Macaca mulatta: one gene and its partners. The protein of the gene in region 1 purifies or fractionates together with the protein of each later gene. This does not show direct contact. Links are inferred from orthologs where the notes say so. Each region holds a gene or a part of one and is shown on either strand. Other genes may lie near its edges. The genes, in order: STX18, SCFD1, USE1, SEC22B, NBAS, NAPA and SCFD2.

Region 1 (3,960 bases):
TGAACCAGATTAAAACGCATCCTAGAAGTAACAGCAAATGCTTCAAGGAAGGCACTTACCAAAAGGCATACTATAACTTACTACATTTCATTAAGTCTGACAACCAGGGCTAAACCTGAATTAGAATATGTGCTTCTGGTATTGACCAGACTTTTCTGTATAAGGAATCCAGGCCAAACAAAATAACAGGCAAACTTTTGACACATCTAATCATAGTGAAAGCACAGGACATCCATCACTAGCTCTTCTAGTTAAAATTCCCACAAAAGAAGATGGGGAGTGGGGAATGGTTGGAAGAACAGGAGATAATACGCAAAGCAATGACAACACAAAATCAAAATTGCTTACAAGAATGTATGTTTCCTCTACGTCAGGGGGACAGTGTCCCTGAACAACACAGCCCATGTACTCACTTAAGGTAATGTGACACCTACTCACATCAATACATAGCAGAATTGGAAGTTTCACTGTCACGCGGTCCAAACCTATGACATATGCACAAAGTTCTTCTCAAACATCTCTGAAAAGCAGTCATCACTCTGTTTAATTACTTCCAGTGACAGGGAACTCAGCACCCTACAGGACTGTTACTGTCCCTGAGGCCCATTAACTCAAAAGTCTAAAACACATTTTCACCACTCAGGGAGCGGTGGAAGTGATCACAGGGCTATCCAAAGGGCTTGCCAACTCAACTGTGCCTCTTGTCTCGACCATTCCCAAATCCCCCCTTTCCCTGAGCAGGACTCAAAATTAGCACAGTGTTCATAAATCAGTGGTTTCAGAGTCAGAAGGGACCCTTACAACGCCAATACTGTGATATTCATACCACGGTTCTACAAAAGGAACCCCAGGAAGTGCTTAGGCCAAACTGGGAGGGAGAGTGTCCTGTTTCTCTTCCTCTCATTTCAGCCTAGGAAGCTTCCACTTTAATTTGTTATATATAGAGGACCAGGGTAGTTTTTTAAAAGGAGGAGGAGAAAAAAAAAGACCATTTACAGGTAAATAAACTGAGGTCTTGACACTTGCTTAATGAAATCATATAGCTAACAGTTGCAGGGTTCAGACAACAACCTGGTCTCCTGGCTCCTTCTCTGGTACTTTCTCTACCATATAACATCTGACGGCCTAGAGGGCAAAATTCAAACTCCGCAGTGATATACAAAGCCCTTTAAGATCTCTCCCGGTCCAATTTTTATGAGAGTCCCACATACCAGTCTCACTCAAATGTTTATTGAACCAACTTATATCAGACTCTTACACACCTCCACATCTTAGCGCATACTATTCTTTTAGCCTGAGATGCCCTTCTGCACTGCAGCCAACTAATCCTCTTTCAAGATTTGTTTTGGGCATCATCACCTCTATAAAGCCTTTTCTGATCCTCAGGTAGAACTGACCACATTCTTCTTTGTGCCCTACATAACACTTGCAAGGCTTTATGGCACTTGTTTTATGTCTATGTCCGTCTACTCCACTACTCCTTTTACATCATATTACTCTAACATGAGGCTGGTCAGAAAGTAGGTGCTTCATAGATGTTCATCAATAGGGAGAGTGTATTCATCTGGTCCAACCCCTTTCTGATGTTTAAGTATCCTCTGCTAACTGTCATTAATGCATGCATGCATACATTCATTCGAAAACATCTGAGTGTCTATGCAGTGCCAAGTGTATGCCAAGCAGAGTAGGATTTACTGTGAAATTAATGAGGTTTTAGCTTCGGGGTCCCTCACTTCCATCTTCCAAAGCTCTGAATCTCTCTTGGTGATTTTTATTTCTTAAAGACGGCAGACATAACTATAAAAACTTTCGGCCCCACAAAACCTAGATCCCTCCTTGGTGTCACGGACACAAAAGGGAACAAGACAAACATCTCTCCCCTCATGGAATTTTCTGTTTAACGGGAAAGACAGCCATTTTGTTCATTCATTCATTCAACAAACATTTACTAAGCAATGCTATGAGTCATGCATTGTGAGATGAAAACAACTGTCCCTGCCCTTAAGGAAAAGGTTCCTGTTCCCAGAGAAATGAAGGGACACCTGCTCTGATCAGGGAACAGAAAGTAGTTGAGATGACTGTAACACCGTGTTTGCGAAAGATGACCCTAAACTCGTCTCAAGAGGAACTGAGCCCTACTTATCGCGGAGACAAAGAGAAGAAAGAGTTCGGATGAATATGGTTTTTAATCTCATCTGGGGATGGGAGGCAGACAAGTAAAGAGCACAGGCAAATACGGTGTGGTCAGTTCTGCAACAGGAAGTGAAGGACAGTGAGGTTTCCCCTGAGTGCAAGTCTGTAGTGACGGCGAACTCATGACCTCACAAAGCCGCCCGTGCACTTTCCAGATAGAGATTTCTGAGGGTCTCCTTCCTCGTCCCCCAACCCCCGCCGCCGCAGGAGAAATCTGTTCCCCAATATGCGTCCCCCTTCCTTAAAATAAGGCTGTTCCTTCCCCAAAAAGCTGTCCGGTCTCTGAGGCCAACTCTCCTGTCCCCCTTGGGGCCACCTCCTTCACACAATGCTTATGGGACGGGGTGTGGTTTGGGGCTCGGGGTCCCTGTCGCAGGACTGCCCCCTCCTCAACCCGCCGTTTCCATAGCAACCAGCTCACCACTTCGCGGGCCCGGCTGGAGAAGTCGCCCTTGGGCCGGGGGCTCCGGCGGAACAGCTCATCCCGGCTTCCATCGACCCCGCCGCCCACCGCCACTCCCAGCGCCTTGTTCCGCGTCTTCACGGTCTTGACGCTGGCCCGGAATAGCAGCGTGATGTCCACGGCCATAGCGACCCGTACCCGCAGCCCCACACTGGGCCGGCTCACGTAAGCAGCCGGCGACCGCGGCGAGAACCCGGCCGCTGGAGGACTGGTCCTGCCCCGCACTCCTCCCCACCGGCAACTGCGATGCGAGAAGAAAGGTTCCGGCCTGAGCCCCGCTACCGCGGCGGGAGGAAAAAGATTCCGAACTCAGCGGCGCACCTGGCGGAGGAGGAACCCCGCGACGAGCTCACGGGCACCTCTTTCTCCCGGCAAAGCTTGGAGGGTTTAGCAGCGCGGAGAGCTCAGCGAGCTCTCCTGTGCTTTTTTGGGGCGTGTGGGCTCCGGGAGCGTGAGGACCGGGAAGCTGGGAGGCTCCTTCCCTTCTGGTGGCTCCCTCACTGAGAGCGGGCGGTTTGGTTGCGGGGGACGTGGAGGCGAGCCACCCTTGACCTTTGACTGCAAGGACTCACCTTGAGCAGGACAGAGGCACTTGGACGGTGACCCTCGGGGTGCAATAAGTGCTGAGACAGAGCAGATGTGCAAGGCATAGAGCTAGAGGCCAGAGGTCTTTCTTCTCCACCCTTCAGTCACCTCTTTGTAAAGTGAAGCCAGCATCCTCCTCGGAGTTTACTGTGAAAATTAAGTGAGCTGACGCGTGCTGTGTTTTGATGTTGCTTGGCTCCTAGTAAGTGGCCAATAAATGGTAGTAATCGTTAATAATATTATTATAATCACTCGTATTTGTGGTGATGGAAGAGGCTGTAGAGAAAAGGCGTCACCTGTGCAGAGATTTGAAGGATGAATAGGAACTTTAGATGGAGGCAAAGGTGAAAGAGTGGCCCTAATGTCGCTGGATTCTGTTCTTCCTTCATGCATAGTTTTTAATTGTACCGTCTTGAGCCATAGCTATTAAAATTGACAAGTCAGTCAATGAGTTTCTTCTGCATTTTTGGTTCATGGTTCTGTTTTGTGTTGTTTTTTGAGATGGGGGTCTGCTATGTTGCCCAGGCTGGATTGCAGTGGCTATTCAGAGGCGCCATCCTAGCTCATTACAGACTGGAACGCCAGGGCACAAACGATCCTCCGCGGCTCCGCCTCCTGAGTAGCTGGAACTGTAGGCACTTGCCACCATGGCTGGCCTAAGGATATTCAAAATCTCATTGATTTCTTCAAGATTTTTTTTTCCATAAAGAGGATGCACA
Region 2 (4,252 bases), on another chromosome or scaffold:
TCTAATTGGGGGATAGGGAAAATAAAAAAAAGATAATAATAAGTAAAACACATGGAATGTAGATCATGGTAAGTGCTATGAAGAAAGGTAAGATTGGGAAAGAGGAAGATGGAGTTGGGGTGTAATTTTAAACAGAGTAATTGGGGAAGGCCTCCTGAGAAGGTAACATCTGAGTAAAGACCTAAAGGAAATGAGGGAGTGAGCCATGGAGATTCTCTCTGAAACAGTATTCCACAAAGAAGAAACAAATACAAAGGCTCGAAGGTGGGAGCATTCCTGGTGGGTTCAAGGAGAGGGAAGAGAAATAGGGAATGAGGTCCAAAAGCTACATGGGAACCAGATCATATAAGTAAGGCCTTGTAGAACACTGTAAGATCACTTTGGCTTTTATCATGGTTGAAATGGGAAGAAGCTGGAAGACTTTGAGCAAACATATGGCATGATCAGTTTGGGTACTGTGTGAAAAATAACGAAGGAGAACAGGATCGTAAAAGCAAGGAGACCAAATAGGTTATTGCAGAAATTCATAGTGGATAGGATCTGGAAATAGCAATGACAACAGTCAGATCCTGGATGTATTTTCAGAGTAGAACTGACAAGATTTACTGAAAGATCTTACATGAGACATGAAAGAGACAAGTCAAGAAAACTTCAAGGTTTTTGACCTGCAACTAAAAGGATGCAACTGCCATTAACTGATATGGAGCAGACTGAGTTCAGATGGGAGGGCCAGACTAGGGATATAAACCTGGGAATCATCAACATAGAGAATACTGAAAGCTAAGTTGCTAGATGCTAACACTAATGGGACCCAGCAACATTGAGAAGCAGGGAAGATGTGCAAGAACTTGTAACGAAGACGCATTCAATGAAGAACAACAGTAACACAAAGCAGGAGGCAACTGATTCTACCTGTTGAACTGAAGGTATGGATAGAGAGGACAGTAAACCTGGAAGAAAGGAGATAGCTTGTGAGCTTGTGGGATGACATTCAAAAGACCAATAAAGATTTTTCAGGCAGGCAAAGCAAGAAACAGGCATGTTAGTTTACCTCTATCTTACTTTCCTCACCTGTAAAATGGAGATAATAATACATAATCACCTAAAGCAATGCCTAACCATAGTAAATGCTCAATAAATGCTAACAATTATCTCATCCACCCAAATATTTCAGTATCGAGAATATTTGAGGATTGTGAGTTATTTCCCAAAACATTCTCAATAGGCATGAGGGAAATAGCTAATTCTGTATTACAATATATACACAAGGATTTACCTTCCTCTGAAAATGAGGCAGAATTCAATGACAGTAAAAATATGATAAAGAATAGATCTAGCACAATCTATCTAGTAATTCTGTAAAATCTCAACTATGTTCATTTCTGCAGAAATACAAACGATTAGATTTTAATGATCTACAAAGTTTCTGCATACAAGTTTACTGCCATGCAAATTTATTTTTCAAAAAGCTCTCTTGTATTGGTACAGTTTCACTGACACGTTATTTTAATATGTAGTATAGTCATCAGAAACACAGCATTAAAACAAATGGAGCTTCTATTTGCTTAAACAGATACAATGAATGGCAGGTATGCCCCAAATCTTATTTGAACTTCCCTATATTTGATTATGCCTGACTTCACCTGATAGGTTACACTAAATTATTTACTGGGAAAAGCAGAACGCAACTCAGCATCTTTTGTGTGTCATTACTAGATTGAAGTCTAACATTTTTCTTTAATTTCTTTAAATGCCAAAGAAAGGAATCAAGTACAGCCCAAATTCCTTCTGTAGGTCATATGAATTATAAATTCATTTTTCTATTCATATTTATATCCAACAGGGCATAATTTCAGCAAACAGAATTCCAAGTATGCACATGCTTGACGCCTTATTTCTATTAGCTCCTCAGAATAAATGGCTTGAAAACTTTTAAGACAACTAGTTCAACCTTTAGTTTGTAGCTCACAGGTATAAACCAAGTTGTCGTAAGTTTTCAAATAAGGCAAAACTAATTTCTAAGAGGGAAAAAACCCCAAAACTCAAGAATATGTAGCTTCTTACATTTCTCTGCATAAATACAAGCTATATAAACATGCTCTATTGAAGATAAAATATTATTTTAAAACAATAATCTGTCAAACAATTAAAATGAGAAAGCTATTAATTCAATTCCTCAATGCCTTCCAGCAAGGTGAAGGAGAAAATCTTTTATCACCAGGCATTTTTCTGCAGGTACCCCCAAAAGGCTGGTCCGAAGTAGAGAAGTGGCGCAAAGCAGGCCGCTGTGAAAATACCTAAATTCTGTAATTGTGGTGGAAGTGCCAGAAAATGGGAGTTCTCTCAAAAATCAAAACCAGAACTGAACCACGCACAGAAACAAACTCGGAGACCTCATAGGTGGCAACATAGATAAGAAGCTATCTGCTGCTAGATCTTGTTGTGATGGCCTTCTGATGCCCACTAGGAAGGAGACAAGAGCAAGGCCATAGCAATCTGCCCACCGCTAAAGCTCCTTCTCCTGCACCACAGGAGGAACCGAGTCAAGCTAATGGCATCTTCTCCCCAAAAACTCAAAGGGGAGGGGCTCTTGATGTTCTAGGGACTGGATTAAACTCCCGGAGATCGCTCTCTGAGCTGCACGCACCACGACCGAGTGAGGGCGACAAGCACAGGAGAAGAATGTCGTCGGGGCAGTCACGAAGCTTCAAGAAGAGAGTAAGTCAGTACCTGTCTGCCTTTCCCGAATACTGGCTGCTGCTGCTGTCGCTGCCGCCGCCGACGCCATCTTGACTCCCACGAGCCACTGCCCGGCTGGCGAGCGGAGCCGGGGGATGACGTGGCTGCCCTTACCGCCCCGGAAGCAAAGCCCGGAAGGGCGGGGCAAAAGGGCGTGCCTGAGGGCCGGACTCCACCTCCTCGAGGAAGACCTCCACTCTCGATAGAACTGGGAGAGCCGGTGCAGGTTAACTCAGTGGCCCGTAATGTTAGCCGAATACTACGAGTTTTTATCCTGTCTTATCAAGCCACACTCTCTCAAATGGTAGCAACATTAAATTGAACTCTTAGGGTAGGAGCGTGTAGTGCTAAGAACCTAATTACTGAACTGTTGGCTTGGTGGCTTACAGAGCACTGACGGGGTGATAATACTCTAGGAGTATAAGGACCACAGGACTGAAGTAAATGAAGCTCCTGAAACACAGGCAACATTTTAACGTTAGCTCTAGTTTCTCAGTGCAGCAGGAGTCTTCCCTTTGCTCCTTTTTCCAGAGAAACAGAAAGCATTGGAGCTTCACTCTAATCTGGCATATTTCTCAGTCGCATCTCTTAAAAAAAAAAAAAAAAAAAAGGGTCTAGCTTTATGGTGGCGTTCTGCCGGCATGGACACGGGATCCAGGGAGGTACAAAATGAGAAATTAGCATCTCTCCTCTTTCCTTGTAGTAATTGCAAAATCACATTGCCGTGGGAAGGAAGTTGCCCAGGCTCAAGTGCGCAATCAGGGCTCACTGCAGCCTCAAATTCCGACTGTCAAACGATCCTCCTGCTTCAGCCTCCCAAGTAGCAAGGGACTACAGCGGCACACCATCAGGACAGGCTGATGTGCTGGTTTTTTGTTGTTGTTGTTTTTGAGATAGTATCTCACTCTGTCGCTCAGGCTGGAGTGCAGTGGCAGAGTCTCAGCTCACTGTAGCCTCGACCTTCTGGACTCAAGCAATCCTCCCAAACTATCCTTCCACCTCAGCCAACCCAGTAGTTGAGACTACAGACAGGTGCCACCACGCCCAGCTAATTTTTTTTTTTTTTTTTTTTTTTTTTTTTTTGTAGAGACGGGGATTCAGCATGTTGGCCAGGCTGGTCTTGTGCTGGCTGTTTAATGTACACTTGAAGCCACATGACCACAAAATTTACGGGATTTCTAACTTAATCTATAGATTTTACTGTATGACAAAAATGGATACACAATGACAGCTCATTTCCCGAGTTCATTGATGACACTTCATTATGAAGCTGCACCAAATTCTGAAATGAAATCAGACTCTGCCTCAAAAACTTGACTTTCAAAATTATATAAATGAAATGAAGTTAGCCTAACGATTATGTAAGACTGTTTTATAGTGTGAAACAATGGCTTTTTTCATTAATAAAAACTTTATTTTTGTGACATTTAAAATAGGTTATCTTATTTTTAATGCTATTAGGAAACATCCTAGCATTCGACCTACAATCTTTACCTTTTAAGAATTACATAAT
Region 3 (4,038 bases), on another chromosome or scaffold:
CTAGCCTTGGTCCCATAGGCTGGGCGTGCCTAGCTTTAACAAATTTATCTATTTGCTTATTTTTGAGATAGAGTCTTTCTCTGTCAACCACGCTGGAGTGCACTGGCACGATCTCAGCTCACTGCAACCTCCCCCTCCCAGCCTCAAGCAATCCTCCTGCCTCAGCCCCCCAAATAGCTGGGACTATAGGTGTGCGTCACCACACCTGGCTAATTTTTTTCCTTTTTTTTTTTTTGAGAGGGAGTCTTGCTGTGTCACCCTGGCTGGAGTGCAGTGGTGTGATCTCAGCTCATTGCAACCTCCACCTCCTGGGTTCAAGCAATTCTCCTGCCTCAGCCTCCTGAGGAGCTGGGACTACAGACAGGCGGCACTGCATCCGGCTAAGTTCTGTATTTTTAGTAGAGACAAGGTTTGGTCATGTTGGCCAGGCTGGTCTCAAACTCCTGACCTCAAGTGATCCACCTGCCTCAGCCTCCCAAATTGCCGGGATTACAGGTGTGAGCCACTGTGCCCGGCAGGAGTGCCTAGCTCTGTTTCCTCTCGGGGTCATTTCCTCTGTCCTGGCTCTTCCTCCACGTGTAATTTGGTTATGTTGCTGTTGGAGTCAGGCTGGGCATGGAGGCCCCAGGGCAGCAAGGATGTATGTCTTGTCCTAGGCAGCTGGCCCTCAAGTCCTGTTGTGTTCATGGTGACTCACCTGCAGAGTCCTGTGGAAAGAAGTAAGTGGCATGAGACTGGGTGCGGTGGCTCACTCCCAGCACTTTGGGAGGCCGAGGTGGGCAGGTCACCTGAGGTCAGGAGTTCGAGACCAGCCTGGCCAACGTAATGAAACCCCATCTTTACTAAAAATACAAAAAATTAGCCAGGTGTGGTAGGGGTGCCTGTGATTCCATGGCTCAGGAGGCTGAGGCAGAAGAATCTCTTGAACCCAGGAGGCGGAGGTTGCAGTAAGCCGAGATCGCCCCACTGCACTCCAGCCTCGGCAACAAGAGTGAATCTCCATCTCAAAAAAAAAAAAAAAAAAGTAAATGCCATGAAGTCACCCCCCTTGTCTTGTTCCCAAACCTGTCCCTTCTGATCTCAACCTTTTCACCTTCAGTCAGGACATGGGGAAATCCCATGACCTCTGAGCCTGTTTCCTCAACTATAAACTGGTAACAACCACTCATATATATATATTTTTTGAGATGGAGTTTTGCTCTTATTGCCCAGGCTGGAGTGCAATGGCTCAATCTTGGCTCACCGCTACCTCTGCCTCCCAGGTTCAAGCGATTCTCCTGCCTCAGCCTCTTGAGTAGCTGGGATTACAGGCATGTGCCACCACGCCCAGCTAATTTTGTATGTTTAGTAAAGACGGGGTTTCTCCATGTTGGTCAGGCTGGTCTCTAACTCGCGACCTCAAATGATCTGCCCGCCTTGGCCTCCAAAGTGCTGGGATTACAGGCGTGAGCTGCCGCGCCCCGCCACAACAACTCATATTTTAAAAGATTGAGCTGATCCACATAAAGTGCTCAGAAAGGAACTTGTCATCTTCTCTTACAGCTGAAGAAACTTTCGTGTCTTGTAAGTTGCAAGCCAGGACTCAAACCCTGCTCTTGGGCCAACTCTGGGGCTTAACCTGACACGTTCCATTTTTGCCTTGTACCAAATTTGCTATTCATCTAGCAAAGCCTTAGCCACAGTGCCCCTCTGTTGGGCGGCCTTGTGTGATGACCCAGGGAAGCGATTGCTGGACCCCCTCAGAGCCCCTGTATCTGACAGTATTGTGGTTCCGGCTGCCTGCAGGCATAGAACCCCCGTCCCTGTCCAAGGGGTTCCCAGGGACCAGGAAAGGAGCCCTACCGTGCCTAGTAGCTCACTCCGCATCTCGCTGGTGTACCGCGCCCGTGACTGCAGATGCACCGTCTTTGTGGCGGGCACTCGCTCTCTGGCTGTGGTTGGCACACGGCCAGGGGCCAGGAACTGGTTGGCCAGTGCTTTCTCTGAGGAGGAGGTCTGCAGAAATGTGGGAAGAGAAGTCACTGGAGGGGCAGGTCCTGGGGACGAAAGTGAGCGGTGATGGGGGCTGAGGGGGAGGGGCACCCCTTCTCACCAGCTTCTCGGCTTGCAGCATCCCCTTCAGAAAATCCACCTTCCAGGAATATTCATTGATCACCTCAGAGGCCGGTTTGCTGGGAGGTAGGAAGAAGAAAAAGAAAGCCTGTCCATGGTCCCCAGCTCAGGGAAGGGTCCCAGCTGGGACAGCGGTACTGGGATGTCCCAGAATAGCCACGTGCTGATGTGAAAGCAGTAAGGCTGCCTGCACTCACCTCGCGTGGACCTTCAGGGCCTGCAACATGTCCTCCAGGGCTCCCACGTACTGGGGAGGAAAAGTGGATTGTCACCCGGGGGTCGTTCCCACGTCCTGCTCATGGGAGTGGGGGGCGGGGCCGACAAATGGGAGGGGTCAAGCGCAAAGGAGGCGGGGCCAGTGGGGGAGGGGCGGAGTCCCAGGGACGGGGGCGGAAGCTACAGGTAGACGTGGCGGGACTGACCGGAAAGGGCGCTGCCCGAGAGGCTACTGGGGCAGGGGAGTCCGGCTAGGTGGCTTCCAACCCTAGGAACCACCCCCCGGGAGTCGGACTCTACGCGGCAGTGCGAGATCCCCTCACCTTCTCCAGGCGCCACTCGTCCGGGTCCCGTTTCTCCGCTGCCATCGCCTCGCAGCGGGATAGTAGCCGCACCAGGTTCAGCTCCAGCCTCGACGCCGCCATTATCGCCCGGCCCTACCCCGCCCCTTCCGCCGGCGCCATGTTAAGAGAGGGCGGAAGTGCCTTCAAGTGGCCTTCCGGGCGGATGTTTCGCCTGCTCCCGTTCGCTGGCCCATCTTTGTTTGGAGCAGAAGTAATACCTTGTTTTGAGGCGGGGCGCTGGGCCGGGCGCGCTGCCTCAGGGCTGTAATGCCAGCATTTTAGGAGGCGGAGTTGGGAAAGGATTGCTTGAAGCCAGGAGTTCGAGGCCAGCCCGGGCAATATAGCGCGACCCTACCTCTATTTAAAAAAAAATAGGAGAGAGGGCCGGGCGCGGTGGCTCAAGCCTGTAATCCCAGCACTTTGGGAGGCCGAGACGGGTGGATCACGAGGTCAGGAGATCGAGACTATCCTGGCTAACACGGTGAAACCCCGTCTCTACTAAAAAATACAAAAAACTAGCCGGGCGAGGTGGCGGGCGCCTGTAGTCCCAGCTACTCGGGAGGCTGAGGCAGGAGAATGGCGTGAACCCGGGAGGCGGAGGTTGCAGTGAGCTGAGATCCGGCCACTGCACTCCAGCCTGGGCGACAGAGCGAGACTCCGTCTCAAAAAAAAAAAAAAAAAAAAAAAATAGGAGAGGCGCCACCCCATTCTTTCTTACTCAGGCGAATCACTTCCTTTTCTTCGAGAGCGTGTTAACCCTTCGGGAATGATAGGACGACCGGGATCTTCGGGTGTCAGACCCCCCTGCACTGTGCCCTCTTGTTCTGTTTTGCTTGCTCGAAGTACCTCCCCCCACCCCACTACTACCTGGATTCTTCCCAGTCGGAGCTGTTTCACCTCCGCGGGCCCTTCCCGATTTCTCTTGTAGGAGGGGCTCTAGCCTGGAATTCAGGAATCCAAGGCTTCCCCCACCTCAGCGGGGCTCATCTGTATTGTGGTTATGAGCTTCCAGGTCACAGCTCCAGCTCTGATTCCATCCCCGGCCCTGGGCGAGTTTAACTTTTCTTGATCCGTTTCTTCCCCCGGGAAATGTACAGTGTGACAGTACCTGCCTCAAGGGTGATATGGGGCAGCTCTGCCTCAGAGTGAGCAAGGTGGGGCTGGGTCCCCCCTAACGCCCAGACCCCCGTGGAGAGAACCCCTTCCCAGCCCACCTCATTACCTGGAAGCTGAGTACCCCTATGCCTGCAGTGCCACGCTTCTGGAGTGAGAGGATGAGGGTGGGGGCTTCACAGGGACCAGGGCCTGGCATGCAGCCCTCATGTTTTCCCATACCTTAGATCATCTGTACCTTGGTCACACCAGT
Region 4 (3,979 bases), on another chromosome or scaffold:
ATTGAATTATTTGGCCTGGACAATTAAGGTGCTTAAATATAAAACTGTTTGGTTGAGATACCTGTTTATTAAAAAGTGATTCCTGGACTCCTAAGAGGTTAAGGCATCATGAAAAGGCCTTAGAACAAGGCAGTAAAGTACAGTGGTTAGGCACTAAAGCTCTAGTCGACTCAGACAATACTTAATAAAAATCACTGGATCTCAGTCGGGGTGATTTTGCCCCCATGGGGCATTTAGCAATGTCTAGAAATATTTTTGTTGCCACACAAACAAACGAAGTGGGGAAGGGTGGTGGTACTACTGGCATCTAGAGGGTAGAGGCCAGGGATATTGCTGGACCTCCCACACAATATACAGGACAGTTCCCAAGAACAAAGAATTATCCATCCCCAAATGTCAACAGTGCCAAGGTGACAAACCCTGATGAAAAATTTCATTATGCCACTTATTAGCTGTGTGAATTTAGGCAAGCGATCTATCCTCTCTAAACCTCAGAGCTTCCTTATCTATAATTGGAGATTTTAATAGTACCTATTCTAATATGGTAGTATGAGGATTAAATTTAAAAATGCACTTTATAGGCTTAGCACAGTGTTTGGTATGTAGTAGGCACTTTTATAAATGTTATGTATACTATTAAAATAGTAAATTAAGTCTAAGATTCAGATTTTTACAGACATTAAAAGTTTAGGCAAACTTTATTATTCAAAGTCAAAACTCCTAAAGGAAAATATTATGGCACTACAATCACAAAAATATTTGTGTGTAAAATTTCTTTCCTTGTCAATTAAACAAAGCCATCCATCTTGATAAACCAATATGAAATCAATACCAAATTTAGAATTAAAAAACAATAAATCAATTAATTTTCAAAAAGTATCACGTTAGAGAGTAGGGGCCACTAATATTAAGTAGACTTTCCAGTTCACTTTGTATTCTTTGCCCACACTGGAATTCAATGCCATAGTTTAAAAATTGACCAGATTCCATCCCTGCTACTCCCAACACACACCCACCCACTATAGGAAAACTATTTTTTAGTCAAACTACACATCCTTCAAGGATATTTCCCTACACTATCTACTTTGTTCAAATCATATTCCTAGGTTCACTGGAACAATTACATTCCTTCTGCAGGATGGTCCTAGAATATTCCTGAAAAACATTTCACATTAGCAAATCAGGGTATGTTAAATTGTTCACAGTTTATTTCAAAGATTAGACTTTGTTTTTATGAAATGAATAGAATATATTTCACTTAGCATGACCTGCAACTTGATTATCTGTATCACCACTCTCCTAAAAGTGAAAGTAAATACATTTCCAAATCAAACCTAAAAAGGCATATAACTAAAGAGAATAGTTCCTTACTACTGGATCCTACTGTTACCTTAATGTCATACCTTCTGGGAAGACTTTCCTCATTTCCTAAAACCAACTTAGATACATTTTCCATGTTCGACAAAACCCTCTTCCTTCTCCTTAGCAGTTAAACTACATTTTAATAGTATATTGGTTATCTGATTTTTCCACTAGACTGTAAGCTCCACAAAGGTAGAGACTGTGTACTCTAACCCCCTGCATTAACACTATGCCTGGTACATTTGATGTGCTCAGTAAAATTTTTTTTGCATTAATATATGAATGAAAAGTCCAATAGAAGAAATGTGCAACCTATTTTTTCTATATCTCATCTTTTTTTAAGGCTCAAGGTTTTAAAACACTACTTAGACTGTATGAAAAAGTAAAATAAAATTGATCACTTTAAACAAATTATATAAATTCCATTGTCAGTTTTGTCTTCAGAACCTCCCAAGCTTGCTCCAGAAATTTGTCTTCAGAAATTTCCACTGTGATTCTAAAACACAAAACAGCTTTCTTTTAAGACGCCTGGAGTTATTGCTGTTTTTAATCAATTCAATATATTTTTGAGCACCTACTAGCATAAAGCAGCCATTGTAAAAGGTATGAATAACAGAGATGATTAAGATCCGTCGTTTGCCCGCTAGGAAACTCAAGTTATTGAAAGACAAAAAAATAAGTTACAATGTATTGCAGGAATGTGGTACGGCGTATTGGAGAAGGTGGGAACTGGGAATAATCCTGAAAGAATGTGCTGTACTGAACTTTAACAAGTGCTTTTATGTGGCAATATTACCTCACCCACTTTCAAAAGACGTCAGCAAGCTAGGTCAAGGATCAGGTGCTACGTTATAGAGTTGAAGAACTTGGCTGATTTGTCCCAGGATTTATCCGTCAGCAGTCCTATTAGCAGCAGAAAATTAGAAATCCTGATTTTTAACAGTCCCTAAAGAGTCAAAGAACACTGGGTGATCACAATCAACCAAAGCTATCACTTCTCCAGAGCGTTTTTCTAAAGAGAAACAGGTAACACAAAAATCTGAACAACTCCTTCAGGAAAGATTCCTCTCACCGGTAGTCTCTCCCACACCAAAAGATAAAATAGCACTTCAGAGAGGTCGGGAGTGCCCGAGAAGTCACAGAGGTCTCTCGGCCCTAGGAAGGAATGCGATGCTGAGGGCAAAGCGCGCTGGCAGACTTGGGGTCGCGGGGATCTAGTAAGCAGCTCACCTGTTCGTCCTCCTGCATCGAGGCGGCCAGCGGGAGCCCGTCCGCCACTCGGGCGATCATTGTTAGCAACACCATCTTCACAAATTACAGGGATCCAACACTGGCCCGGAAGGCCGTTGGTGTCGTCCTCACTTCCTCCGCCGCGACAACAGTTATTCCCTATGTCTCAGTTACCGGAGATCCAGCTGCTTGCGTCTCCGCTTCCCGCTGAGGTGGCCGGAAACAGCGCAAGAGCTTTCCACTACCGGTCCCCAGAATTGGCTTCCCTCAGAGAACCACAACCATCAGAACACTGGTTCCGCGATCTGCCTTCCACCTTCTTAAACTTCCAAGGTCTGGCCGGCTTTTCTGAATTTGGGGCTTCGAATAAGCCTCGCCCTTTGAGGGGCATTGCACCCAAGCTGAATCAGAATTTTCTAGTTCTTGAAACTAAGTCTTGGGAGAGAGCTGGGAAGGAGGGTGGGAGTTAATGGGTACTCCCCATTAACCATTAACCGTTAACCATGAAAGGTATGTAAAAAAAATGAAAACCCTGAAAATTAGGCTAGTTTCATATTTTTTTCTATTTTCTATGTTATATATTCTATAAAATTTTCTATATGTATTTCTGGACAAAGATTTTTGTCTATTTTTGCTTGTTTGTTTATGCGGCATCCCCACCAGGCTCCTTAAATAGTTTATGGTAAGAAGTCAATAAATATTTGTTGTATGTGTGAATAAATGAACAAGTACAGGACATCTTTTACCACCTAGGTCAGTCAGCCTACAAAAAGCTAGGATCAGGCCAGGCGCGGTGGCTCACGCCTGTAATCCCAGCACTTTGGGAGGCCGAGGCGGGCAGATCACGAGGTCAGGAGATCAAGACCATCCTGGCTAACAGGATGAAACCCCGTCTCCATTAAAAATACAAAAATTAGTCGGGCGCGGTGGCGGGCATTTGTGGTCCCAGCTACTCGGGAGGCTGAGGCAGTTGAATGGGGTAAATCCGGGAGGCGGAGCTTGCAGTGAGCCGAGGTTGCCCCACTGCACTCCAGCCCGGGTGACAGAGAAAAAAAAAAAAAAAAAGCTAGGATCTCTTATATATCTAGGTGTTCCCATCTCTTTGTTCTTTGGTGTCCCCATCTCTACAGTGGGGATATTATCGGCCTTTCAGGGTTTTAATGAATATTAGATGAGAAAATCTAGGTGCAAGGGTTTCATAAGCTAAAACAAGAATCATACAAATGCTTTTATTTATCATTACTTAATAATGACTACTCTTTACTAAGTGCTTACAGTTAGTTCTCACATTAATAGAAACACTGTTAAGTATATTCTAGATATTAATTAAGCAACCCAGTAAGCTTGTTTAGTATTGTATCTCCAGTTTGTAGTTGAGAGGAAAGCC
Region 5 (4,230 bases), on another chromosome or scaffold:
TATATATATATATAATTAAACTCAGATAACACGTCACTTTTATTAGTCTCCACACCAGAAGTCTAAAGAACACATTTTAACTGTTAACCATATCATTACTGTAGAGAAATAAGCTATATTTACCTCGAATTGCTTTCGTGATGATAAAGGATGCACCATGCTTTCGGTTGCCTCTAGGCTGGAATTTAAAACAAAGCCCTTACATTTGAATCCTCTAGTATTAGACTAGTATTGCTTATATAATGTAAACTTATTTTTATTTACTAATATCCAGAGTTTTGGGCACAGGGAAGCAGTGTCTTAAAACTACTTAAAGACTGAATGTGCAGGTGCAGTGGCTCACGCTTGTAATCCCAGCACTTTGGGACGCCAAAGTGGGCCAACTGCTTGAGCCCAGGAACTCCAGACCAGCTTGAGCAACATGGCAAAACCTCGTCTCTACAAAAAATACAAAAATTAGCCAGGCATGACGGTGCGTGCCTATAGTCCCAGCTACTTGGGAAGCTGAGGTGACCTGGGAGGTTGAAGCTACAGTGAGCCCTGATCATGCCACTGCACTCCAGCCTGGGTGACAGAGTGAGACCCTGTCTCAAAAAAAAAGAAAAAGGTAGACTCAGGATGGGGGACAATAGGAGTAAAGGGAGCATAGCAGAGCTACAGGCACATGTCAGGACTAACCTTGCAGGTAAGAACAAAGATTGAAGCTAGAAACTGTTTCCAAATCAAATACCAATCCAAAGACAAGAGAAGTCAAGGCCAAAGACCACACTGGTTGCCAATTCAGCACACTCTATTGAAGCTGTAAGTTTTGCTCACAGGAAAAGTGGTCATATCTCCAAGGCAAATTCATTGACTATCTGTTGTATATCCATCCAGACAATGCTACTAACAAAACATACAGCGATACGTAATTGCTATATTAAATAATTCCATTCCATAAGTATAGACTGAACACACTGTGGGTAGGTTCATGACACTAGGCACTGCATAAGGTGCACTACAGTGCTGTCAAGAAAAGCACAATGGACACACAGTAAGTGTAGACAGATTTTTTAAAAAACAGAAAAGTTATTTCACTCAACAAACAAGAATTGATGGTGGGATTCATGCAAGGCACAATTTGGCCCTGGGGAGAGATATAAAGATGAATCAGATGTAGCTGCCCTCCAAGAGCTTATAGTTCAACAGCTGAAATCAATAGAATGCAGAAATCGATAGAATGCAGAAATCAATAGAATTCCCCCACCCCCAACACATAAACACAAAACAAAGTGCTAAGGGTTTCAAAGTAAGTTAATTCTGTGGTTACTTTTTTGGAATCAATTTATGCTAAGCATTCTGAAACATTACTGCAATTAACCAATGAGTGTTAAGGAGTGGAAACTTATCTAACCAGCTGCCGCAGCAACACCTTCCTAGCTGCATAACCCAAAAAATATTCACATTAAGACAAATTAAGCACTTGAAATTAAACGGCAAAACATGCAGATCTCTACCCGTTCTACAAAATACATTATTCAAAATAAGCACAAACTGCAGTGGGAAGGAGGCTACAGGGGAAAAAAATACAAACTTTAGGCTGAAAAATGAGTCGTTTCTCCAGCAAAGAAACACTCATAAAAAAATGTAAGATAACTCATATGGGCTGGACTACATAATCTTTAATAAAGGTTCTTTTCGATCTGGCTGCTTCCTCTGGGTCCAAAACAGTAACTGGCATGTGTTAAGCACTCAATAAATATCTATTAAATAAACATGGATCCGTGGTTCCTACTCTTCACCACAGACCCGGGAGGCCCTCACTACCAAATAACTGATAATCCCAAGATCCAGTCTATAAATTATCAACCTCTATAATCCTTCTCTAGCGGAGATCCCAATCCCAGTCAGCAGTTCTTTACCCTTCACTTCCGTGGCATTTTGCTCACATCGCTAACTATAGCGCATAAAACGCTAGATTATGAATAACGTTTACAGGATTGTCTCCCCTCTAGAGGAGAAGCTCCACGAAAGCATATTTATCTCTGTATCCTCAGCACCTAGCACAGCATCTGGGACACCGAGACGGACGAACGGACACGCACACCCTTATTAAATGCTCTTTTATTGTTACACACAAGAACTGGCGCGATCCAGCCCCAGGTAGCTGTAAAGGCTCAGATTCCGCACTCTGCAGCAGCCTGCCAGATGCTGAAGACTGTAAGGTCCTGGAAAATTCTCACACCGTTAAGCGTCCGCCCGTACTAGCCCTAGCCAGACTGCGAGAAGGGACCACCGAGAGTCCAGGTAGGAGAAAGGACCCTTTAGTCCAGCGCTGTGCCTTCCCCTCCGAATACAGAGAGTGAAACTAACAATCTGCACCCCTCCGAAAACAGAGAGAAACTAACAACCAGAGTGGGATCCTACGCTCCGCAGAACACGAAGTTCCAGCCCCCAAAAACCGAATTCTGAGCCCAGGAGGAATCTCAGGGACCACGACCCCACCCCGCCTTAGGAGCCCCAGACCCCCGGTAGCCCAAGGTGCCGTTGCCAGGGCGACCACACAAGCCATCAGGCCCCCCGCCCACCCGGCTTCACTCCCCTACGTGGCTCCTGCTACGTGGCTCTGCCCACGAAGCGCCCGCGTCAAGTTGGCTGCTGCTGTAGACGGGCCTGGTTCACCTGTACTTCAGTCTCCGGTGGCCACTCGGTGTTGACCAACAAGTCATAGAGAATCGTCTCCTCCTCACCCTCTGCAGCGCTTGGACTCAAAGCCGGCCCTGACTCGGGGGCCGCCATGTTCGCCCGGGACTCAAGCAGTGGAGGAGCGCCTCTACGGAATCCCTCACAGGACAAGCTTCCCTAGCCGCGGCCGCTTTTGATTCACGGGGAAGGGAGTGGAGTGAACTGACCCTGACCGCGGCAAGGAAATGCTAGGTTAACCCTTTTATGAGTAGGAAGGACAAGGACTATTGCTTGTCTTGGGAACGACTTGTGTCCCAGTCCTGGTGCGTTCCTTGTTAATTAATCTACGTGAGATCAGCCAAGTCACTGAGCCTGTCTTATCAAGTCAGTTTCTATAAAACAGAAACGGTAAAGGTACCCCACTGAAATGCTAATGTTCATTTGTGTATTCTTTGCCTAGCACGTAGAGAGAGTTCAAACAGTGGTTTTAAAATAAGCCACCAAAGTTATCCAATGCAGGGGATCAAGCCAATGAAAGGTAACAGAGGAAGGATGCTACGGGCGCTCAGAAAAGGCAACGAAGGCCAGAGTCTGCAGGGATTTCCTAGAGGACGTGGAGCTTGTCCCTAGGTCTTTAACAACTGGCAGAATGTTAATCCACTGGAGAAGCATTTCAAGTAGGGGGAAATGGGATGAGCAGAGACAGAGGCAAAAGTACAGAGTTGAAAGAACTCTTTCAACGTGTCGCGAGTGAGCGACGACTTTCTGGGTGTGGGAGTAAAAGAATTTACCAAGACAGTAGTAGATAAAAAAAGACAGATTAAAGAAAGTATGAAAGATCGTTGCCAGGGAACAGCGCGCAGAATCAGCAGAGGAGGAGCTCATTGCTAGGAAACAAAGGCTTGTTGAGAATTTTATAGACTGGAACTTGGAGTGATTGATAACACCAAGTTAGCAGGGAGTTAACTTGCTTTTTTTTCCTTTTTTTTTTTTTTTTTTTTTTGTCAACCGAAGTGTTTGATAAATAGAGGCGTTTGAAGGTAAGCAGGAAGTTTGTGAGTTAAGTACGTTATCTGGTTAGAAGAGCCATATGTCTTGGGCCATAAAGAAAAGTAGACCTATGGCTTATTTGTTTCTTCCTTTTGTTTATATGTTTTGGACCATGAAGAAAGGCAGATGTATAGCTTATGCTTACTTGCCTTATCTCTTTGTTTTTTCCTGCTCCCACTAGCCTGCCTTTTTTTTTTTTTTTTTTTTTTTTTTTTTTTTTTTTTTTCTTTTCCTAATTAGTACTCAACAAGACAGGTGAATAGAACCCAAGTTGAGAAAGGGTGTAGGGGCAATAAAGTTTAAATAATAGGTTGAGAACCTGCATGGAGGGAGTGAAAAGGTCAACCCCATTTGTTCATTCATTCATTCATTCCACAAATACCTCTTTGTGGACAGTTATAAGCAGAGCCTATTGTAACATTAATGAATATATACTGTACAAAGTATTACACTGTTTTACATCAAAAGAAACAAATATTGAATATCCCTTGAGATAATTATATTTCATAATATCCA
Region 6 (4,021 bases), on another chromosome or scaffold:
ACTCCCCAGACCCACTCGGGCCTCAGACTCTGCCCACCAAAGCCGCTTCCTCCCCCGTCCTGTGACAGATGGAACAACTGTCACCGGGGCGTTCAGCCTTCCTGCCAGGGAAATGTGGACATGGGAGATTCGGCGAGCTTCCACCCATTCTCATCCAAAGCAGTCATGAGGATTGTCATATTCGACCCTCCCACTGGCTCTGAGGGGTGGCATCATCACCATGCATCCCAGTTGAGGAAACCAAGGTCCCTGGACCCCAAGAACCCAGAGAAAGTTAGATCAAGATGGGCGCTCTGGGACTTCCAAGCCAGAGCTCCTCCCCAGGCCCACCATCCCTGGGTCTCCCCAACCTAGAAACTGACCCAGCCCACACGTGTTTCAAGGATGCATGCTCCCAACCTCCCAAGAGCTTGCCCAGAGTCTGGGGGACCAGGAGTGTGAGGAGAACAGGTGACCGGCCCAGGGGCAAAGTGGGTAGCAGAGACAAGGAGGAAGAGAGACTCATGCAAAAGTGTTGTTTTTTATTTTCTTTCTCGGGCCAGCTGCAGCTTCCAACCAAGAAAACCTCAAAGCATTAGGGAAGGAGCAGGTGTGGGGCTGGGGTCGGGGACAACCCCCTAAGCTCCAGGGCCCGGGGTCTAACCTGAGAGGTCGGGGCTGCAGGAGGCTGGGGGAAGCTCCCAGAGTTTGGGGGAAGAGGAGCTTCCCCCCGTAGAGACAGCAAGTCTCAGCGGCTACATGTGCTTTAGAGCTTGGCTGGGGGACAAAAGTGGGAGAGACAGAAACCGGCCTCATGAATCAGCTGGTCAGGAGATGGGGGGCCAGATGCTGACCCCAAACCCCCGGCAGCACCCCTAGCAAATAGGTCTGTATCAAAGATTCTGTACAGCTGGTTTTGGGGGTGAAGGGCACCTATGGGGGCTTAAATAAATGGGCAGGGAGCAAGGGATGTAGCGAGAGCAGAGGGTGACTGTCCAGCCAGCAGCCTGGGCCTCTGGTGCCCCCGCATGCTGACCCCCGCTGCCACCTGCCCACTGTGGCCTGCGGGACTCCCCAGGTGGGAAAGGAGGGAAGCTCTCCAGCAAGTCTCGGCCCCACCTCTCTCTAAGCAGATGGGACACGAAGACGGGCGCTGGGAGGCTGGGTGGGGCTTAGCGCAGGTCCTCCTCGTCGCCCTGGATGGTCTTCTTGATGCGCAGCAGCATGGTGGTGAGCCACTGGTCCAGCCGGGAGATGGAGTCATATTCCTTCACCTGAGGGCACACCAGGTGATGGGCTGGCCATGCTCCTCCCTGTTCCCAACCCTGCAGCCCAAGGGCACTTGTCTGAAGGTTTTCAAGATCTGTCCCTGTCACCCTGGTCTCTGAGAAGGAGCAGAGGGAGGGCTCGAGGCCCCGACTCAGCCAGGGGAGCTCCTTCTTGTCTGTCTTGACTATGCTAGGCACAACATTTCCCTTGGGGGAGAGGGATTGTAGCTTTAAAAAAAAAAAAGGTCCAGCATCCTCATTGAATGGGTGGGAAACTGAGGCCTGGAGATACGGAAAAGGCCACTCCTGAGTGCCATGGGGCATGGGAGAGAGAAGCCGCAGCCTGCTGGGCATCCCCTCCCTGAGCTCCTGGCTGAGTTGCCACCCACTGTCCGGGGCAAGAGGAACCGGATGGCATTTGCTCGCTGTCCTCAGCTAGGGGCTTCCATTCCCAAGGGGCACCTGGGGAGAAATGCTTGACATGTGCCATTAGAGGAGCGAATCAGGACCTATAAGCCGGACGCCACTGAGCCCAGGAACGCTGGGAACAGAGAAAGGGAAGGGAGAGAGAGCCACGTGGGCGGCTCCACCAGGCAGAGGGAAGCTGGCGCCTCTCCCGTGTCCTCAGCTCCACTCTCCTTCTCACCCTTTCCCTCCCAGTCTGTGCCTCCTGGGTGCCCAAGGCGGCCACTGTGAGTCTCACACACTCAACTGGGGGACTCAAGGAACCCTGGTCTTCAGGAGCAGACAGATGTGGCTCTGAACACCAGCTCTGCCCCTGAGGTGCCAAGGCCACCATCTGTAAAATGGGGAAAACACTCCCTGCATCTCTTGGGGCTACTTGTGAGGTTTCTGGGGTGAATGGAGAAAGAAATTCACAGTGGGCTGGGGGCCAGATAAAAATGGGTGAATGTCAGGGGAGAGCATGTCTGAGAAGGGCGGCTTTCCTAGGGGACCCATCCCTGTGAAGGGGCCTGACCCCCATGCGGGCCACTCACCGACTCGGTGTAGCTGTCCACATTCTGCTCCTCGTGGGCCTCTAGCAACTTCTGCAAGGAAATGGCAGAGAGGGGTCTGGGGCCCAGGCTGACCTGAGGTCGGCCTGGATTAGATGAAAGCACACACTATCTATATGCCAGGCCTGGGGCTGGGGTTTCCTGAGGACTCTCAGAGGGTCAGTCCATGTGGGTTAAACTGGGGACAGGTAGGGGCGTGTTGCAATCCTGCTGCCCTACTCATCAGAAACGGCTAGCTCTCAGGGCAACCTTACCAACATAGAACATCACACAGAATGTGTGTGTGTGTGGATATGTGGTGTGTCTGTGGTGTGTGTGTCTGTGGTGTTTGGTGTGTGTGTGGTGTGTTTGGTGTGTGTTATGTGTGTGAGGTATGTCGTGTGGTGTGTGTTATGTGTGTGAGGTATGTCGTGTGGGGTGTGTGTCGTGTGTGGTATGTGTGGTGTCGTGTGTGATGTGTGTGGTGTGTCGTGTAATGTGTCGTGTGTGTGTGTGTGGTGTGTGTAGTGATTGTGTGAGGTGTGTGTCGTGTGTGGTGTGTGTGTAGCATGTGGTGTGGTGTGTGTAGTGTTTGGTGTAGTGTATGTAGTGTTTGGTGTATGTGGTATGTGTAGTGTGTGGTGTACGTAGTGTGTGTGGTGTGGTGTGTGTGTGGGATGTGTGTCATGTGCATGTGGGGTGTGTGTGTGTGTGTTCACCCAGCCATCCCGAGCTCCAGCACTCCCCAAGTTGTACTTTCTTTATCTGAAAAATGGAGAGTCAAATGGCCAAAGAAAAGAAAACAAAATAAACATACCCTCTGAGAACCACTGGACAAGTCTTGATGATTGTCCCACCTGGAGCCCCGGCCACCCCCATCTGGGGTTCGGGAAGGGGGAGGCTGGAGCACCCAGCACTTACTTTCATCAACTTGCATTCCCGGGAATCAGAGAAAGCTGGGAACAGCTCCTCATACTTCTGGACAGCCAGCTGGGCAGCAGGGAAGGGGGAGGATGAGTTAGTAACAAGAGGGCCCTCAGAGCTGCTGGCCTAGCAGCCGAGGGGACTTGGGGATGTCTGGTGATACTGAGTCAGCTCTTTGCGCCCCTCCTCTAGCCTCAGGTGTCACCTGGCTCTGTTTGTCAGTACCTTCCCGCAGCTGAGCTCAGCACCAGCCTGGCTGGCAGAGACGGCTGCAGGGAGAGGTGGGTGGAGGGGGAAGGCTCCTCAGACAGGTACCCACTGCCTCCTCCCACCTGGCTCAGCTGGGGCAGGGGACAAATGAGCACATCCTCCATGGCAGGCCTGGGGCTGGTGCTTCTTGAGGACCCTGAGAGGGTCAAATAACGGTGAGCCCCTTTTTGAAAGTGAGGGAACAGATCCAGAGGGGGCAGTGACCTGCCCAGGGCACGGTGAGACATGGGGTGGGAATGTGAACCTGGTCTGACAAAGCCCAAGCTTTTGCCCACCACCGGTGCCCACAGCAGAGCAGGGCTCTATGGGGTGTGTGTGTGGGGGGTGTGTGGGGCCATCACCCCAGGCCGTGAGGCAGGGGTTTGGGCAGCCAGGGACACCAGGAAATCCTGGACTCCATGCTTCTGCCAGGCAATGGCAGGAAAACTCCAGCCAAGCAAAATCTAGCACCAACCCTCCAGCTCCTTCCCTCTGGCCACGTCCCCTCCCACTGCCCTCTCTGGCCCCTCTTTTGCCAAGCGCCCCGAAAATAGGTGGGCATGTGAGCTACAGCTAAAGTCGTGACAACGGGAGTCACAAAGATCT
Region 7 (3,500 bases), about 72 Mb from region 1:
TTCTTCTGCCTCTTGATGTATGTTTGTGACATTTTAGACATTCTGGGATAATGAAGGGAGCTCATTGACATCCTGAAGAGGACACAGCTTTTAGCCTTACCTGGTTCAACATTTTTGGCAATCTTTGGTAAACTCAACAATATATAACAGGAGACATATTCCAGAGTATTCACTGCATAATTCTTCCTAATCTCACATACATACACACCACACACACACACACACACACACACACACACACACACACGGGCACAAATGCAACAGCCTAACTAAACAACAGTACAGATTGCATAAATAAATTGTATATTTATGATGTGGTTTAAAGGAATGAGCTAGATCTACATACATCACTTTATTTATTTATTTATTTATTTATTTATTTATTTATTTTTGAGATGGAGTCTCCCTCTGTCACCCAGGTTTAAGTGCAGTGGCACAATCTCAGCTCAATACAACCTCCACCTCCCGGGTTCAAGAAGTTCTCCTGCCTAAGCCTCCCGAGTAGCTTCCTGAGTATAGATGACCACGACCACACCCAGCTAATTTTTATATTTTCAGCAGACACAGGATTTTGCCATGTTGGCCAGGCTGGTCTCGAACTCCTGACCTCAAGTGATCCGCCCATCTCAGCCTCCCAAAGTGCTGGGATTATAGGCGTGAGCCACTGCACCTAGCCCATCACTTTGGATTATCTTAAAAATAGAACCTTGAGAGAAAAAAGCAAGCTATTTAGGGATATTTATAGTATAACATCACTTATGTAAAATTAAAACCTATAGCATAAATGCTCTATATTATTTATGAAAAAGTAAATATTTAATAAAAATGTAAAAACAACGAATTGAGCTTGTAATTATCTCTAGGGAAAGAAAAAGGAAAATCAAATTAGAGATGGTTATATAGTATCAAGAATGCTTCAACTTTATCTCTAGTTTTATTTCTTTAATGAAAAAGGATCCATGACAGATATGAAAATAATGATAAATCATATTGAGTCTATGTGGAAAGTTTACAGATACTCATCGTTTTAGTACATTTATGCTTTATAATCCTCTATCCCTTTTTAAAGTACTGTATAATTTTAAAAACTACTTTATAATTTTAAAAAATACATACTACATATTTTTTGAAAAGTTTCCCATGAAAATATTTCATCAGTCATGAAAAGTTCCTATCCCACATACAAATATCTGTATAAACACTACAAATGGAGATCACTTCCTTCATTTTTTACTAAACGCCATTTTAAGGCACATGCTATGTGTTGCTTAAGGACTAGAAACTAGGTAATGTCAGAGGAAATGTGAATAGTAGTAATATGCTACAGAAAAAGTAGCAAGGATCAAATAAAGACACCATGAAGAGCGAGAAAGGTCCAAATGGCATAAAATTGAAAGAGGTTTCCAGAGGTTAGTTCAATGCTCAAAAAACATCCTTAGTATTGAATAAGAAGCCAAAGACATTACTGTCGAAATATTTTTTTAAACAGGTGTGAAAAAAGTTTCTACTTGAACTTTAACTCGGGGGCACTTAGAGAATATGAAGCAGGGCACATGTCAACAATATGATTTATTACTAAGGCTATAATAAATGTCAAAGTTTTTCCCTGGAAATCAAAACATTAATTATTAAGATCCCACGAAGTACCCACAGCAACATACCTGAAGAAGGAGTCTTTCAAAAGCGAGAAAGTTGTCCCACTTGGCAGTCTGTGGGTGTTTCAACGTTTGAGCTGTGGCCAGCCCAAGCTGGAGGAGCCCACAGTGATTCATTAGAGCTTTGAGGTTGTTCTTGAAGAGCTGAATATAGGACATGAGCTGTCCTGGTGTGACTCTCCCTGGAAAAACATAAGAATTTATCAGTGTACCCCTTTCTGGGAATAGTACAAATAATGAGAAGGATTCCATTAATAATACCACTGTTTTGTATTTGGGCAGAACATCAGAGTTGACTACAAGCTTTCCTAAGCTATTGTGATTCTTACAACTATATAGTGAAAAGAGCAATATTGGTACTATTATTAATAGTTGCATTTTGCAAGTAAAGAAACCGGGATGTTAGTTAAGGATCTGGTCAAGGTCATATTGCTAGTAGAATTCATTTTATCATTATGTAATACTCTGTAAATAAGTTTTCAAATAAAGTCATATAAATAAATATTTGTTGAGCTCAACTTGGAGTACCTCTTTATGACATATGACATAGCAACCTAAGAGGGAAAAAGGTATGATTTCTAATTGTGTGTGTATATACATAAAAGAAGATGAGAAATAGGTTATGACTGTACCTAAAACTTTGCCACTGATATCAGTGACTTCATGACAATATTCATGAGGATAAAAGCAGTTACACGGAACAAAAATGTATCAAGAACTAGGGCGGCAAAACCACTGGAAGAGGAGGTATCAGAAGAAAAGTTTGGTGTGGGTAACAGCACATTTGCTACAATGGTCACCTACATTTAGAACAAGAGAGTCCACTTCATAAAAGGACAGAGACTGTATAAAACACATGTACATCTACAAACACACAAACTGTTGAGGATTCACTCCTTCAGAGCCCCTAACTCCAAGTTTTGCCGGTAGCAGTCTTTCCACTGAGTCTCCTCCCACTCTCCAGTCTATGAAATTTCATTCCTGCCATTCCTCCATGCTATGTGCAAAGCTCCTGGACACCAGATTCTCCCCACCAGGCAAGAAGGCACTGGGGCCAAACATAGATGTAAGCCAAGTAATTCATTCCTATGTTTCACCCACGCCATGTTTGTGGGTTGTTCTTTGATACTGAAATCCAAGTTTATTTGCTTGTTATTCCGAGGTTTTTAAATATTTGGCAATGAAACCACCTGCATTTATTTAGCAATTTACACAGTGCTTACACAAACACACCCTTTACTGATTCTCATGGCAACTCCTTGAGGTAGCAAACGAGGCTTGTGCTGCGTCTACTAGCCCTGCCCGACATGCTAAGAACACAATGTCTTACCCAGTGCTAAATGGCAGATATTACTTAATAAATGGTTTTTGCTAAAAGTAAAGACCTCGCCACATGAAACTCAAATGCCTACAACATATCTTTCTATCTTTTCATTAATTTTTTGAAGAGATTAAGAATGTTTAAGTTCTTCATTACCAGTTTATCAGGGTAAGCATTTAAAGAAAAAGAACAGTGGGAATGATAAGTAGGAGAGTGAGTCTCACGAGTATCTTTAGTCCCTTGGTAAAGCATGGGTTTGCTCCTGATTCTCAAAGCAGCAAGCTAACAATTTGCTTGCTCAAGTACTCATAGAAAAAAGACCTCATAAATACTTTGATTTCTTTATCAGGTTTATTAAGGTATTTTCTACATACAGGAACATTCACCCTTTTCTAGTGTACAGTTCTATGAATATTGACAAATGGATATGGTTGGATACTACTGTCACAGTACAGAACATTCCCATCATTCCAAACAGCTCCCCTTCTTGGTAGTCCATTCACTTTCCCCAATTCCAGCCCTGT

What was found.
Region 2: the proteins of STX18 (region 1) and SCFD1 purify together in Homo sapiens (affinity purification with mass spectrometry; 5 studies listed by BioGRID and IntAct, counting the BioPlex papers as one, with this or other methods). This does not show direct contact. The link is inferred for Macaca mulatta from reciprocal best matches to the Homo sapiens genes STX18 and SCFD1.
Region 3: the proteins of STX18 (region 1) and USE1 purify together in Homo sapiens (co-immunoprecipitation; 4 studies listed by BioGRID and IntAct, counting the BioPlex papers as one, with this or other methods). This does not show direct contact. The link is inferred for Macaca mulatta from reciprocal best matches to the Homo sapiens genes STX18 and USE1.
Region 4: the proteins of STX18 (region 1) and SEC22B purify together in Homo sapiens (affinity purification with mass spectrometry; 5 studies listed by BioGRID and IntAct, counting the BioPlex papers as one, with this or other methods). This does not show direct contact. The link is inferred for Macaca mulatta from reciprocal best matches to the Homo sapiens genes STX18 and SEC22B.
Region 5: the proteins of STX18 (region 1) and NBAS purify together in Homo sapiens (co-immunoprecipitation; 5 studies listed by BioGRID and IntAct, counting the BioPlex papers as one, with this or other methods). This does not show direct contact. The link is inferred for Macaca mulatta from reciprocal best matches to the Homo sapiens genes STX18 and NBAS.
Region 6: the proteins of STX18 (region 1) and NAPA purify together in Homo sapiens (affinity purification with mass spectrometry; 4 studies listed by BioGRID and IntAct, with this or other methods). This does not show direct contact. The link is inferred for Macaca mulatta from reciprocal best matches to the Homo sapiens genes STX18 and NAPA.
Region 7: the proteins of STX18 (region 1) and SCFD2 purify together in Homo sapiens (co-immunoprecipitation; 3 studies listed by BioGRID and IntAct, counting the BioPlex papers as one, with this or other methods). This does not show direct contact. The link is inferred for Macaca mulatta from reciprocal best matches to the Homo sapiens genes STX18 and SCFD2.

The regions. Positions count from the first base shown.
Region 1 is NC_133410.1:8,445,765-8,449,724, reverse strand, and holds the start of STX18 (syntaxin-18), read right to left. Parts: upstream 2,801-3,960; 5' UTR 2,783-2,800; coding exon 2,615-2,782; intron 1-2,614. UniProt on the Homo sapiens protein: Syntaxin that may be involved in targeting and fusion of Golgi-derived retrograde transport vesicles with the ER.
Region 2 is NC_133412.1:103,727,383-103,731,634, reverse strand, and holds the start of SCFD1 (sec1 family domain-containing protein 1), read right to left. Parts: upstream 2,801-4,252; 5' UTR 2,789-2,800; coding exon 2,731-2,788; intron 1-2,730. UniProt on the Homo sapiens protein: Plays a role in SNARE-pin assembly and Golgi-to-ER retrograde transport via its interaction with COG4. Involved in vesicular transport between the endoplasmic reticulum and the Golgi.
Region 3 is NC_133424.1:17,695,893-17,699,930, reverse strand, and holds the start of USE1 (vesicle transport protein USE1), read right to left. Parts: upstream 2,801-4,038; 5' UTR 2,754-2,800; coding exon 2,652-2,753; intron 2,360-2,651; coding exon 2,310-2,359; intron 2,172-2,309; coding exon 2,093-2,171; intron 1,996-2,092; coding exon 1,843-1,995; intron 708-1,842; coding exon 698-707; intron 1-697.
Region 4 is NC_133406.1:120,112,247-120,116,225, reverse strand, and holds the start of SEC22B (vesicle-trafficking protein SEC22b precursor), read right to left. Parts: upstream 2,801-3,979; 5' UTR 2,668-2,800; coding exon 2,593-2,667; intron 1-2,592. UniProt on the Homo sapiens protein: SNARE involved in targeting and fusion of ER-derived transport vesicles with the Golgi complex as well as Golgi-derived retrograde transport vesicles with the ER.
Region 5 is NC_133418.1:109,389,325-109,393,554, reverse strand, and holds the start of NBAS (NBAS subunit of NRZ tethering complex), read right to left. Parts: upstream 2,801-4,230; 5' UTR 2,779-2,800; coding exon 2,662-2,778; intron 179-2,661; coding exon 124-178; intron 1-123. UniProt on the Homo sapiens protein: Involved in Golgi-to-endoplasmic reticulum (ER) retrograde transport; the function is proposed to depend on its association in the NRZ complex which is believed to play a role in SNARE assembly at the ER. Required for normal embryonic development.
Region 6 is NC_133424.1:59,984,924-59,988,944, forward strand, and holds the end of NAPA (alpha-soluble NSF attachment protein), read right to left. Parts: intron 3,233-4,021; coding exon 3,164-3,232; intron 2,297-3,163; coding exon 2,246-2,296; intron 1,254-2,245; coding exon 1,152-1,253; 3' UTR 501-1,151; downstream 1-500. UniProt on the Homo sapiens protein: Required for vesicular transport between the endoplasmic reticulum and the Golgi apparatus. Together with GNA12 promotes CDH5 localization to plasma membrane.
Region 7 is NC_133410.1:80,243,676-80,247,175, reverse strand, and holds part of SCFD2 (sec1 family domain-containing protein 2), read right to left. Parts: intron 1,838-3,500; coding exon 1,662-1,837; intron 1-1,661. UniProt on the Homo sapiens protein: May be involved in protein transport.